3 linked regions of the Bombyx mori genome follow. The main gene of each other region encodes a partner of the protein of the gene in region 3 in a complex. Links are inferred from orthologs where the notes say so. Each region holds a gene or a part of one and is shown on either strand. Other genes may lie near its edges.

What was found. Proteins that work in one complex are often made in the same cells at the same time.
Region 1: mediator of RNA polymerase II transcription subunit 25 (region 3) and mediator of RNA polymerase II transcription subunit 19 share a complex: the UniProt entries of both Homo sapiens proteins name them as parts of the mediator complex. The link is inferred for Bombyx mori from reciprocal best matches to the Homo sapiens genes MED25 and MED19.
Region 2: mediator of RNA polymerase II transcription subunit 25 (region 3) and mediator of RNA polymerase II transcription subunit 31 share a complex: the UniProt entries of both Homo sapiens proteins name them as parts of the mediator complex. The link is inferred for Bombyx mori from reciprocal best matches to the Homo sapiens genes MED25 and MED31.

Annotation. Positions count from the first base shown.
Region 1 is NC_085116.1:16,053,107-16,057,502, forward strand, and holds the start of mediator of RNA polymerase II transcription subunit 19, read right to left. Parts: upstream 2,828-4,396; 5' UTR 2,303-2,827; coding exon 2,122-2,302; intron 2,036-2,121; coding exon 1,664-2,035; intron 1,143-1,663; coding exon 982-1,142; 3' UTR 1-981. UniProt on the Homo sapiens protein: Component of the Mediator complex, a coactivator involved in the regulated transcription of nearly all RNA polymerase II-dependent genes.
Region 2 is NC_085122.1:5,746,466-5,750,907, reverse strand, and holds the start of mediator of RNA polymerase II transcription subunit 31, read left to right. Parts: upstream 1-1,615; 5' UTR 1,616-1,926; coding exon 1,927-1,942; intron 1,943-2,018; coding exon 2,019-2,108; intron 2,109-2,490; coding exon 2,491-2,660; intron 2,661-3,664; coding exon 3,665-3,811; 3' UTR 3,812-3,836; exon of another isoform or gene 3,837-4,442. UniProt on the Homo sapiens protein: Component of the Mediator complex, a coactivator involved in the regulated transcription of nearly all RNA polymerase II-dependent genes.
Region 3 is NC_085126.1:7,896,142-7,899,795, reverse strand, and holds part of mediator of RNA polymerase II transcription subunit 25, read left to right. Parts: intron 1-79; coding exon 80-173; intron 174-1,025; coding exon 1,026-1,147; intron 1,148-1,473; coding exon 1,474-1,710; intron 1,711-2,820; coding exon 2,821-2,949; intron 2,950-3,654. UniProt on the Homo sapiens protein: Component of the Mediator complex, a coactivator involved in the regulated transcription of nearly all RNA polymerase II-dependent genes.

The DNA of each region.
Region 1 (4,396 bases), on a different chromosome or scaffold from region 3:
TAACTCTATTAGGTAACTTAGCATAACAAAATCTTATTAAATCTACCATGCAATCGAACCTGTTGAAAGCCAAGTAGAAGTTACTAGAAATCTTAAGTTCAGAATCAAAAGTAATTACTATGAAGTAAAGATAATAAATTAGCTATAAGTTTAAAACATTGCCTGACTAGCAATTTTAGGTATTTCATAAAAACAAAAGTCTTGCAAACCTCATTTTTCTTATTATGGTTTAAAATGTGATAAAAAACTTCGTTTTTTCTTCATTTTATGGACATATACACCCCATTGAATAATGAAGAAATATAGATTCAGATAAATCTACTCTTTTTTTTATTTTATTGCTTAGATGGGTGGATGTAACATAAATGCAATGGTCTCAAGTATAGTTACAACAGCTGCCCCATTCTTCAAACCGAAACTTATTACTTCGGCAGAAATAGGCGGGCTGGTAGTAGCTACTCATGCGGACTCACAAGAGGTCCTACCACCAGTAATGACGCAAATTATAATTTTGCAGGTTTGACTTTTATTACAATGTTATTCCTTCACTGTGGATGTCAATCGTGAACATTTGTCAAGTATGTATTTCATTAAAAGAATTGGTACTTGCCTGGGATTCGAACACCAGTGCATCGCTTAACACGAATGCACCAGACGTCTTATCCTTTAGGCCACAACCAATTGTATGTTATTCTTCTTGTGTTATTATACCATTCAACCAATTGAGGAAAACTTTCCACTTTAATGAAATGTTAACAACATTCCATCGTATTACAATCAACTTATGATAGATAGCACGTGTAGTTTCAACAAATGAGTGCCGTTCATACATTTAGTCATATGCACAACAAAGTGTAGAGGTACATTTCACTAGTAATGGAATATCACTAGAACACAATGAATTACTAATTTTTAGTCATCTTTAGTACAATACTCTCTTTGGGCTCATTATTCGACTTAAACCTACTTGTACACTTATATTTACGGTAATGGATGTTGGTTTGGTGTAAGGCCTCCATGCTCAGGGCTGTGTTTTTGCTTTTTTCTCTTTTTCTCTTTTTTTCTCTTCTTTCGTTCTTTCTCATCGTCATGACGTTTTTGCTTCTTATGCTTTTTCTCATATGTGTCTGGATTTGATGAATCTAGAATAATAGATATGTTTTATATTAAAACTCAAGACAAAAATGGAGTATAAATAATATAACTTATAAAGCAATTTAAAAAGTATCACTTGACATCTAAAGTTAAATGAAATCATTGTGGCCTAAAGAATAAGACGCCTGGTGCATTCATATTGAGTGATGCGACTGTGTTAGTGTTGGAATCCCGCAGATAAGTACCATTTTTCCTTATGAAATATGTACTTGACAAATGTTCACAATTGACTTCCACAGTGAAGGACAGTGTTGTAAACAGACTCACTAAAAATAATTGATAGGGTGTCTTCTGAGCCCGCACGGGTTAGTACCACAAAATGTAAAATGCAGAGTACAATTACACTGCAATTCAAATACTGTCTTAACTAGATTAATGTAGTCAAAGTGCCTGGAAGACTCACCTAGACCTAAATAGCATCTACAGGTGGCTAATTTGTAATATTGTCTACAAGCTTGGGACATAGCTAAATCTATTAAATCAATGTTGTTGAGTTCTGAGTTCTTACCTTGTAAAGGTGTCTCTTGCCCAGGAGGTGCACCATCTTTATGCTTATGTTTCTTATGTTTGCTTTTATGTCGCTTTGGTGGTGTTGCACTCACATATCTGTACTGCTCAGGAAGTGGGCCAGGGTGTAATCGAAAACCTGCCAACTGAGCACTAGTTAATGGCAGTAATTCTTTACCACCAATTGGTCTCTTAGCTATAACTGAACTTAGAGTACTGTTATCGTCCTGCCCAGGTCCGTCAACGATGCCCGGCAGGTTCGGAAGGAAAGATGATAGGGATTCCTTCAGCTTTTTGCCATTAAACTTACTGTAAGAATGTACAAGTCCATAGTAGGCCATTAAATTTGTAGCGCCTGTCAGTTCACATTCTCCTGTAAAAGAAATCGTCGAAGTCACTTCCTGAATATAATTATTTAAGAATTTGAGAAGAGAATGTTAAAGAGTTGGAGATACTGACCCGGGGGTTCTTTCATCAAATAGAATGGTCCGCTGTGCACTATAGACGGGTTTTTGCCTAAGGATATAGTAGTTTTGAGTGTACCAGAAGAATCTTGGCGAGAGACGACTGGTGACCTCGCACCCCTCGGCGACGATTTTGGCGAATATGGTTCTACTTTCCTAAACTGATCAGACATCATCTTGGATGACCATTATCTACGAAACGAACTTAAATAAATTAAATACTCTAAACAAAATCACAAAAAATTAAAAAGACCTTCCCTACTCCCAAGCTTTTGACAACTCTAAAAAATAAAAGTAGGAACAATGTTGCAACACTTTTTTTTTAAGGGAACTGAGACCTTTAAGTCATGTCTTATTTTAATTTATATTCAATTTTTATGAAAAATAATATTATGGAGTGAAATAATGAAGACGACTAATTTGAGATATTAATCAACGGGATGAAATTAAATGAAATGAAATGGGATGAAATATAATCTCAGTAAAATGGTGGTCATTTACTAAGATTTTTTCAGTGGACTTTTTGGAGGATCCCGAGAAGTTACGTCCAGCGGCTTTGTTTCATTTTTCCACATTTGCGCACTTTCACAGATATTAAACACTTAATAAACCACCATTATTACACATTTAAACCCGAAGAAACACTAAATAGACAAAATAAAACAAATCACACAACTTCACTCCTCACGTTCCCGCCAAAAAGTCCTGTTGCAACACTAGCTTTGTAACTCCCACAGACTCTAATATTGTTATTTAAAGAAAATCATAACAATAGGTACATGGTTTTGTTGGTTCTCAAGAAATTTATATTTAAATTAAATACTAGCAATTCTCAAATTAAAATAGCAACTGTCTAATTAAAATAGACTTGTTTTGAATTAGTTGAAATAGTCTATTATAGTTCTGACACATAAGCACTTGGAGCTTCCGTGATAATTTTGTATGGAAAATGAATTGTGATGTCTATGAGCTTTGAAAACACTTTAAAACTGGTCCAATGGTGTTGGAGTTTGAATATGTAAGTAATGGCAGGTAACACTTGACACATGTAAGGTTACAGTTTTCGAATATTGAAATGCTTATTTAAATATTTAAAACAGATGAGTCTTCTCTTGAGTGAGGACAATGGCTTCTCTTCTAGACACGGACTATGCAACATCTTAGGGTTTTATAAAATAAAATATTGTAATGGTGTTATATATTAACCATGAAGCAGAGTGTTTTTAAATAGCCCCTCACCTACAGAACCCAGTCCTCTCAAATTTAACCGTCCAACAAAAGGTCTCGGTAACAGGTCATACAATCTTTAAAAAATCCACTAAACAAGAAAGCATGAGCTCATTCAAACTTTGAAGCAGTAAAAAAATCAAACATTCTTATTGAAACAAATGCTTAGGCTTTTTTTTTTGTTTAAGTCGTCCTGGCTTAAACTATAAGACGTCCGTAGGCTTAGTGCGAGTTTCAAAAATCGAATCGAATGACTCGCATCGAGTGTACGCTCTTCACGGTGAAACGTGCGGAGCTCTGAGTGCGAGTTACTTGATTTGCAGGACGTTTATTCATTTTGAAAAGCGATATTTTTTTCTTTTATATTGGTAGCACGCAAGGTTTTTTTTAAGGCGTTTAATTGAAATGCCAAGCTTTCTAACGATATTTATAATTAGTCGGGTAATGGGTAATGTACCTGTGCTTAGTGCAAGTTTTTTTAATTACTCAGTCGATGTTAATGTTATGTTTATTTTGTGTGAGGTTGTATCAGTGCCACCTAGTGGTAAGCTTATGAATCTCATTTTGTGGGAGAGAGAAGGTTTGTTTATGTTGCTGTCTCATGTATCAAATAGCTTTACCGAAGTGAGCCTCTCGATTATTGTATGTGCGAGTGCGAGTTGCAAATTAATGGATTTTGAGAGTATTTCTTCACTTTCAAGCAAGTTAAGTAGTCACTAAAATTTTTGCCGTGAAAGCAATATAATATCAAGATTTTTTCTTTCGTTTTTAATAATAATGTTGTTTTTGAAGGTTTTATCTATTCTAATGGTTTATACACATATATTTTTTCGGTTAGAAAATTTTATAGACGTCTAGCTAGTTGTAAATACATATTAATTCTTTGCTTTTTCATTTAATTCTTATTAAATCATTGCTTTTTTTTAAAGAGATGTTTGATGAGAGAGAGAGAGTGAGATAGAGTATTCTTTATTGTACACAAAATGAATAAATATTGCGAAACATTCTTGGTCTTATCGCTAAGAGTGATCTCTTCCAGACAA
Region 2 (4,442 bases), on a different chromosome or scaffold from region 3:
AGTGTGGCGAGAGTTATTGTGACCTGAATCATATTTTCTTTTCTTGTTCTTTATATGATCATTCTTCCTTATATACTTCTTTAGTATCTCTCTCTGTTCCCCTTCCTACTAATATTTCTTTACTTCTTCGAGATTTTAATCCCCTTGTATATAGTATTTTAAGTAGGTTTATATTAAATAATAACATTAAACTATAATTTTGATTTATTTTCCCTGTTATATAATTATTCTGATTTTTTTTGTAAATTCAATTCGTTCTAAATCATTTATGTTTTGTTGCGATAAGTTTCCTTCGTTTTTTATTATTTATAAACTGTAAATAAATAAAACGGCGAATTATAAAAACGTTATTACTTGACGCTGGCTAATGCACAAAACGTGCCAGAGCCAAAAATAAAGAAGAAGAAGAAGAACTGCGTTTATACCATAGAGTTACTACTTATTAACTCCATGGTTTATACATATATTAAGTGTATAATCTATGGTTTATACTGTCTAATTATTTCATAAGTGGATCAAAAAAATATTGAAAACTTCAACAATAATTCAACAAAAAAATGTCGGTGAAGAGTGAAGACGGTCAATTAGTCGTTAAAGTACAATTAGCGTGGTTTTCAGTTCAGTTATTTTTAATGATACTATTCATTACCATGCAATAGGAGATAGTTAAGATACTTGTATTTTATAATAAAATTAATAATTCCTAAATTCATACTTAGTTCAAAAAATGTAAATATAATGCACACAAAATCTGTTTTTGTTGAAATGATAATTATTTATAAGTTCAAGAAATATATTGCAGGGACATTTAGTAGAAATTCATTTAATATAGAAGAATAAACTTAGTATATATACTTATACTCTATAAACAGGATTTTTTAAGAATAATTATATCTATTTGATATATATAATAATATTATAATAATGATATTAAGTATAAATGAAGCTGATTAATACGAAACATGGCATGAAATGAAATGAGATGAGATGATATGGAATGAAATATAATTTCAGTAAAATGGTGGTTATTTATTGAGACTTTTTCTGTGGACTTGTTGGAGGATCCCGAGAAGTTATGTTCAGCGGCTATATTTTATTTTCCCACATTTGTGCACTTTTACAGATATTAAACAGTTAATAAACCAGCTCTATTAAACATTTAAACCAGATTTTTTTTAAGGGATGTTATGACCTGTTAACTAAGACCTTTAAGTTATATTTTATTTTAATTTATATTCTTATTTTTATGAAAAATTATAATATGGAGTGAAATGAAATGAAGATGATTAATTTGAGAAATTAATCAACTGGGATGAAATTAAATGGAATGAGATAATATGGGATGAAATATAATCTCAGTAAAATGGTGATCATTTACTGTGGTTTGTTCAGTGGACTTTTTGGAGGAACCCATTTAAACTTGAAGAAACATTAAATAGACAAAATAAAACAAATCACACAACTTCACTCATCGCGTTCCCGCCAAAAAGTTTAGGTATAGTACCTTTAGGCCAAATATTAAGCCTAAGTAGGATGATGATCATAGTCATAGACTAACTTAATGTGTAGTGTAGTATTGCTCGTATATATTAAGTGTATAATCTATGTATATTAAGTGTATAATCTATGTAGTATTGTGTAGTTGTGTTACGTTGTGTAGGACTCGGAAAAAAATATATACACAAATTTATTTATGTGATTTAATTAATTTAAAAATTTTAAGAGCTTACTAAGTACTGTGTAACATTTTAGTAATGATAAAATCTTAAATATCACATATTTATATAAGGATAAAATGAACTGTCTTGTGTAACCTGAAAATATGTTATTATTTTGGTCATAGATTTGTTGAGACGTACACCACTGACCAACTTGTTTAATTTTGAATAATTTAAATACTCCAGCTGCATATATTTCGGGTTCAAAATGATGGCTGGAAAAGGTAAGAAAGAATGAAATAATTTTATTTAACAGTTTGTTATTTCATGATAAATTAATAATCTTTAATTTAATTGCAGTAATGCCAGAAACTGAAGAGCAGAATCGAATAAGATTTCAAGTGGAACTTGAATTTGTGCAGTGCTTAGCAAATCCAAATTACATTCACTGTAAGTTGCCTTTTTGGTTTTTGTTGTTAGACTTCACACTCACCTGGTATACAATGATTACTAGAGTACATAGACATCATAATGTAAATGTTGCCACTTGAACTTATGCAGGCTAATGCTGCTCACTGCATACATACACTTATGGAAACTTATAATGATAACTTAATGTGATGACTGATCTGAAGCTATCAAGTTGGTCATCAAATCATCACAAGAGGGAAATAAGTAATAAATTGTTAGGTATTTTTCATACCGGTTTAATGATTTTGTTATTGTGACTTAGTTTCTAATCGTCTATTTTGTGATTAAATGTTTTTCTGCCCAGTGTTTTTAAATGTTATGTGTAATGGATGTCAATTATGTCAACTCTGTCTATTTACAGTTTTGGCACAGCGAGGTTATCTTAAAGAACAAACTTTTGTAAACTATCTTAAATATTTGCAATATTGGAGAGAGCCAGAATATGCTAGATATTTGAAGTATCCCATGTGTTTGCATTTTTTGGAGTTATTACAACATGAAGCATTTAGAAGAGAATGTGTATCGGCACAAGTGAGTACAAATTGCACCTACTAAATTATTTTCCATATAATCTTTGCTTGAGCGGTAGATAATGCCATAGGTTTTAAGTCCGCTGATAAACATTCTTCTTCTTCTTCTCTGTCGTTTCCTCATTGCTGAGGGTCGTGACCACCTTGGTCCAGTTTTTGAAGTAGTGTTTATATGAAGGTTTGTTGTGGCCTGAAGGCTTATCGCTCAGGCTGACCTGACGCATTCATATCAAGCGATACAAAGGTGTTCAGATCCTGCAGGCAGGTTCCAATTATTATAATGAGATACATACTAAACAAATGTTCACTATTGACTTCCACAGTTAAGGAATAACACCATCTAGTAAAAGAATCAAACTTGCGAAATTATAATTTGTGTAGTTACTGGTTGTAGGATGTCTTGTGAGTCCGCAGGGGTAGGTACCTCTACCCTGCCTATTTCTACAGTGAAGTAGTAATGTGTTTCGGTTTGATGGGTGGGGCAGCCATTGTATTTTTTTTTGTTTAGGCATTTACTTTGTACATGTCTATGGGCTCAGGTAACAACTTAACACTACTTGGCCTTTTTTTTTTCTGATATAGTTTTATGATTTATAGGTTTCACAGTATGATGTTTATGGGCTTAAAACCAAAACAGAGCTTGACTTACAAATCAACAGTAAAAAAAATATGCAAATGAAATTGAGCTAGTTTGAATGTAAGAATATAAATTTGGTAATTGTTAATGACCACGTACAAGTTACTGCAAAAGTCATATTATTATAATTTATTGGCTTTTATTTACCACCTCATTAGTAGCTGTGCTTTATTCTTGTACTCTACCAAATATAAAATTTATGACTGTGCCAAACTGGCCCTTGACCAAATACCGCTTTTAATTTTATCCGATAGCAGTATAATTTGTATGTATTACAATTTTTAAATAAAGCCTGTGTTTAGATCACTCTGATGGATAGGTACTGTTCAAAATATCTTCATTAATGAATGATTAATATTTTCCTTAAGGTTTGCAAATTCATGGACGATCAAGCAATATTGCTATGGCAACATTATACTCGTCGGCGTACACGCACGTTACAACCGCCGGACGCACCGGCGCTTCCTGCGCCGCCCGCACCGCCACAACAAGGTCCACCAAGACAACAAACTTAGGATGTTCATGATTGTTGTTTTAGAAGTGAGTGGAAAATAAAATAAACTTTTTATAAATCTATACTTAATAAATAAATCTACAGTGGTTTTTATGGATGTTCCGTTATAACTACTGAACCATGCATCCGATTGACTTGAACTTGTTATCCATGTAGAAAATACATGTACATAATGGATAGGCTAATTATATGAGTGTTGGACTCCCTACACCAGTTGCGGGGGCGTTAATGATGTGAATCTTTGTGGGGGTGAGAAATAATAATGTTAATTTTAAATGCCCAGTGAAGCGGACGGGTACAGATAGTAGTGTATAATAATGTTAAAAAAATATTGGGCATGTCCTCTAGTAGGATGTCCCACCGGGGGACAAAGATCTCCCTCTAAATTATCTAAATGGGTGTTAATGAAACCTCTTTGTTATGTTATAAAAATAATTTGGCTGATATTAAAATATTTGTTCTGTGTAGTAGTAAAATATACGTAGTCTTACTCATAAAAAATATATTTAATTACTTGAAATGGGCACTGAACGTTTTTCAAAACGAATTTTATTTGATTGAACATAAACAAATCCTTTGTATAATAACCGGCAAACTTCTTGAGCATTTGTTGACGTAGTGGGGGTAAGTTT
Region 3 (3,654 bases):
TAACCACTTAACACCAGGTGGGCTGTGAGCTCGTCCACCCAACTAAGCAATAAAACAATAAAAACCATCTTTCGACCAGGTCATCCAACAGCAGAAGATAACGCAGCAGATAATCAACAAGCAGCATCCGGCGACGGTCAGCGCGGCCGCCGGACCGCCGCCCAGCATGCCAGGTTCGATGCCACCTTCTCTCTAGGGGCTTGGGTGGAACATGAGCATCCGCCCCATCAAGCGATCGGCTCGTAATGACGGTTATTGGTAACATTTAATGATTTTGCAACAGTATATAATCTATTGTTGCGCCAAAGCAGTCGCGCTTTCCAGTTTGAAGGTTGGTATAATTGTTATACCATTGACACTTGGACTTCACGTCTCGAGTTGGGTAGGCAATTATCCAGTGGTTATTTTTTTTATTTTTATTTTTTTTTCCTACTTAAGTTGATAGCCTTGAGAGGCTATTTCAGCGGAACCTTAACTAGTAGGTGAGCTCACGGGACTCAAACCTGACGACGTTGCTAACACGAACCCTAGCAGGAGCCGTGCTTCGCAGAATCTACCACCGGATCGGAAACGCGACCCACTGAGAAGATCCGGCGAGAAACTCAGTGGGCTGTGTCTGAGGGTAGTGGCTAGGTTGCATGTTCGCAATACACTGCGGGCTTCTAAAGCGGACAAAAAAAAATTAGAGAATTATTTTGGTTTGCAACTTGCTATGTATAAGAAAGACACCCGGTAGACCCGTATCTCACAAGTCACACTAGTGACTCGGCCACATTTACTGGTGCCGTATATATTCTCACTCCTCACGTATGAGTACCTCCACCCTGCATATCCTAGCCTCGCATTGCTTTTTTATTTTTTTATTTTTTATTGCTTAGATGGGTGGAGGAGCTCACGGCCCACCTGGTGTTAAGGGGTTACCGGAGCCCATAGACATATACAACGTCATTTTGTAGATAGATAGGAGGTACATTTGCGTGATGGAGGAGGTAGAGGTGGCGTGGACTAATGAGTGCGGTCCTTAGTTGCAGGTCAGATGTCGACTGCGGGCATGTCCTCGTCCGGGATGGGAGCGATGGGCAGCGTGCCGGCGCTGGGCCCCGCCAACAGCACCATAGTGTCGCAGCAGATGCAACAACACGCACAGGTATATATTTATATATATAGACTACATTGTTTTGTGTCAATGTATAGAGACATAACCAAATCATATAAGATTAAGATTAAGATAAGATTAACTATAGTATTTTCTTTGGTTTTTGCGAATCTTGGATATAATTAAAACTAGTTTTACGGTTTAAATTTTACGTTTTTTATTGTCATTATTTTATTTTTGACATATTGAATACTTGAATACTACGTAGTTTTCGTGGTCGCACAGACTATACATATAGATATCAGGCACGGATAAAAAATTGACGGCCCAAAAATTCGCAGTGGAACGTGTTTGAAATGTAATAATATTGTTTTGAGGGTATGATGATGGGCGGCGGGATGTCGGGCGGCGTTGTCGGCGGCAAGGGCCCGCGCTCCGTGACGCAGCTGGACGGGCTGGAGGCGGCCCGCCAACAGAACCTGGAGAAGATACAGCAGCTCCAGGAGACCTTGCAGGCCGCGCACCAGCAGGAGGCCCAGTTCAAGTCGCAGATGGACATCATGTCGCACCTGCACGCCGCCCAGCAACAAGAGCAGCACTATAAACAGCTAGAAGTAATCATATGCATTGCTATAGGAAAATTATTTTGTCGGTGCAGTTTGGGTCATAAAACATAACCCAGCTAGGGCAGTGAGCATGTTGCGCGGGCGCAACGCCATTATCGATAATAACAAATGAGTCATCGAAGGCAAGTACACGGCGGCGGGGTGGTATACGAAGGGTGATGAGACATTGTTATGTTATGAGTCATCTGTTGTACCTACCTGCAAATTATAGTACCATATGTCGAAGAGAAATATGTTTTTATGCATTCGTTCTCGGAATTTCTTTAGTGACACAATGGCTACTCCTTTGTTTTGTACCAAAATGGTAAAATTTATTCAAATCAATATTTGCACGTGTTGTTTTCAACAATGTGTTAAAAAATTTCACTGAAATGAAAATAGATCCCGAAAAGTTACAAAATGTTAATTTCTGCCGTTCTCGTTAAATTGCTGCGGCGATATGTGGTGTAAGTGTTCGATTAGTGATTTTTACTTTCATTTTTATCACTAACCCACAAAATGACAAAACTAAATACACTATCCATAACGATTATCGAAAACAATAATGCCTATCACTATGCCCGTCCATAAGGCTCGGGAGTGGAGAGCGGAATATTCGCTTCACCGCTCCGATTATTTATGACCCAAACTGCACGGACAAAATAATTCTACGATAGTTTAAATTTTTAATAGCTTCCAATTCATGGTCCTTTGAGTCGAATCATAATTTAGTTTATAATGAAAGTGTGAAACAAGTGAAGTGGATTAATTTGAATTTGAATGAAATGAAACGAAATAAAATGAAATTGTGGGAAATTAATTGAGACTTTAATGGAAGCTTTAATGGTTCAGCGATATTGTTTTTGTTTTCTTACACTCAAACAATCCGCAAATACTAAATAAATTATAAATTAATATAAGTCTTCATTATTGTATAGTAAAGAGAGGCTAATTAAAAAAAAAAACTAATCACATAACCTCAATTCTCTCGTTTCCGCCAAAAATGTGACTCACCTATGTTACTAATGAGGGTGATTATTAATATAAATATATACATATATATCGCGCTGAACTTACTCGTGTCTCGAATCGCTTTAGTTAGCTTAACTGACGTTACAGGAACAACAGCGCAAGCATCAACTACAGCAGCAGTTGCAGCAACAGTTGCGCGCGGCCGGCGCTCACCCGACGCGCATACTGCGGCCCATGCTGCCCACCAACCCGGGCCTCAAGCATCTGCTGCAGCAGGTAACGTGTGCTTTCACACTAATCGCCCGACCCGCAATGTAAAGCGAAAACGTCATGCGAGTTCATTGACTCGTCATGTTTTTGTTCGTAGTACATTGCGTGCGCGCGTATTTATAGCGTATATATGAATTCAACGATTCCTACATCGTCGTATAACATTAAACAAACTTATAATGATACAAATTTAACAAGTTTGCTTTTTTTTATTGCTTAGATGGGTGGACGAGCTCACAGCCCACCTGGTGTTAAGTGGTTACTGGAGCCCATAGACATCTACAACGTAAATGCGCCACCCACCTTGAGATATAGTTCTAAGGTCTCAGTATAGTTACAACGGCTGTCCCACCCTTCAAACCGAAACGCATTACTGCTTCACGGTAGAAATAGGCGGGGTGGTGGTACCTACCCGCGCGGACTCACAAGAGGTCCTATCACCAGTAATTACGCAAATTATAATTTTGCGGGTATCATTTTTATTACACGATGTTATTCCTTCACCGTGGAAGTCAATCGTGAACATTTGTTGAGTACGTATTTCATTAGAAAAATTGGTATCCGCCTGTGACCGGCCAGGTGGGCTGTGAGCTCGTCCACACATCTAAGCAATAAAAAAGGAAAAAATGGTACTTAACCCCGTCCTGTCTTCAATTACACTTGATAAGTTTTATTTGTAAAGGTGTGTCTTCACTGCGACCGATCGGCGAC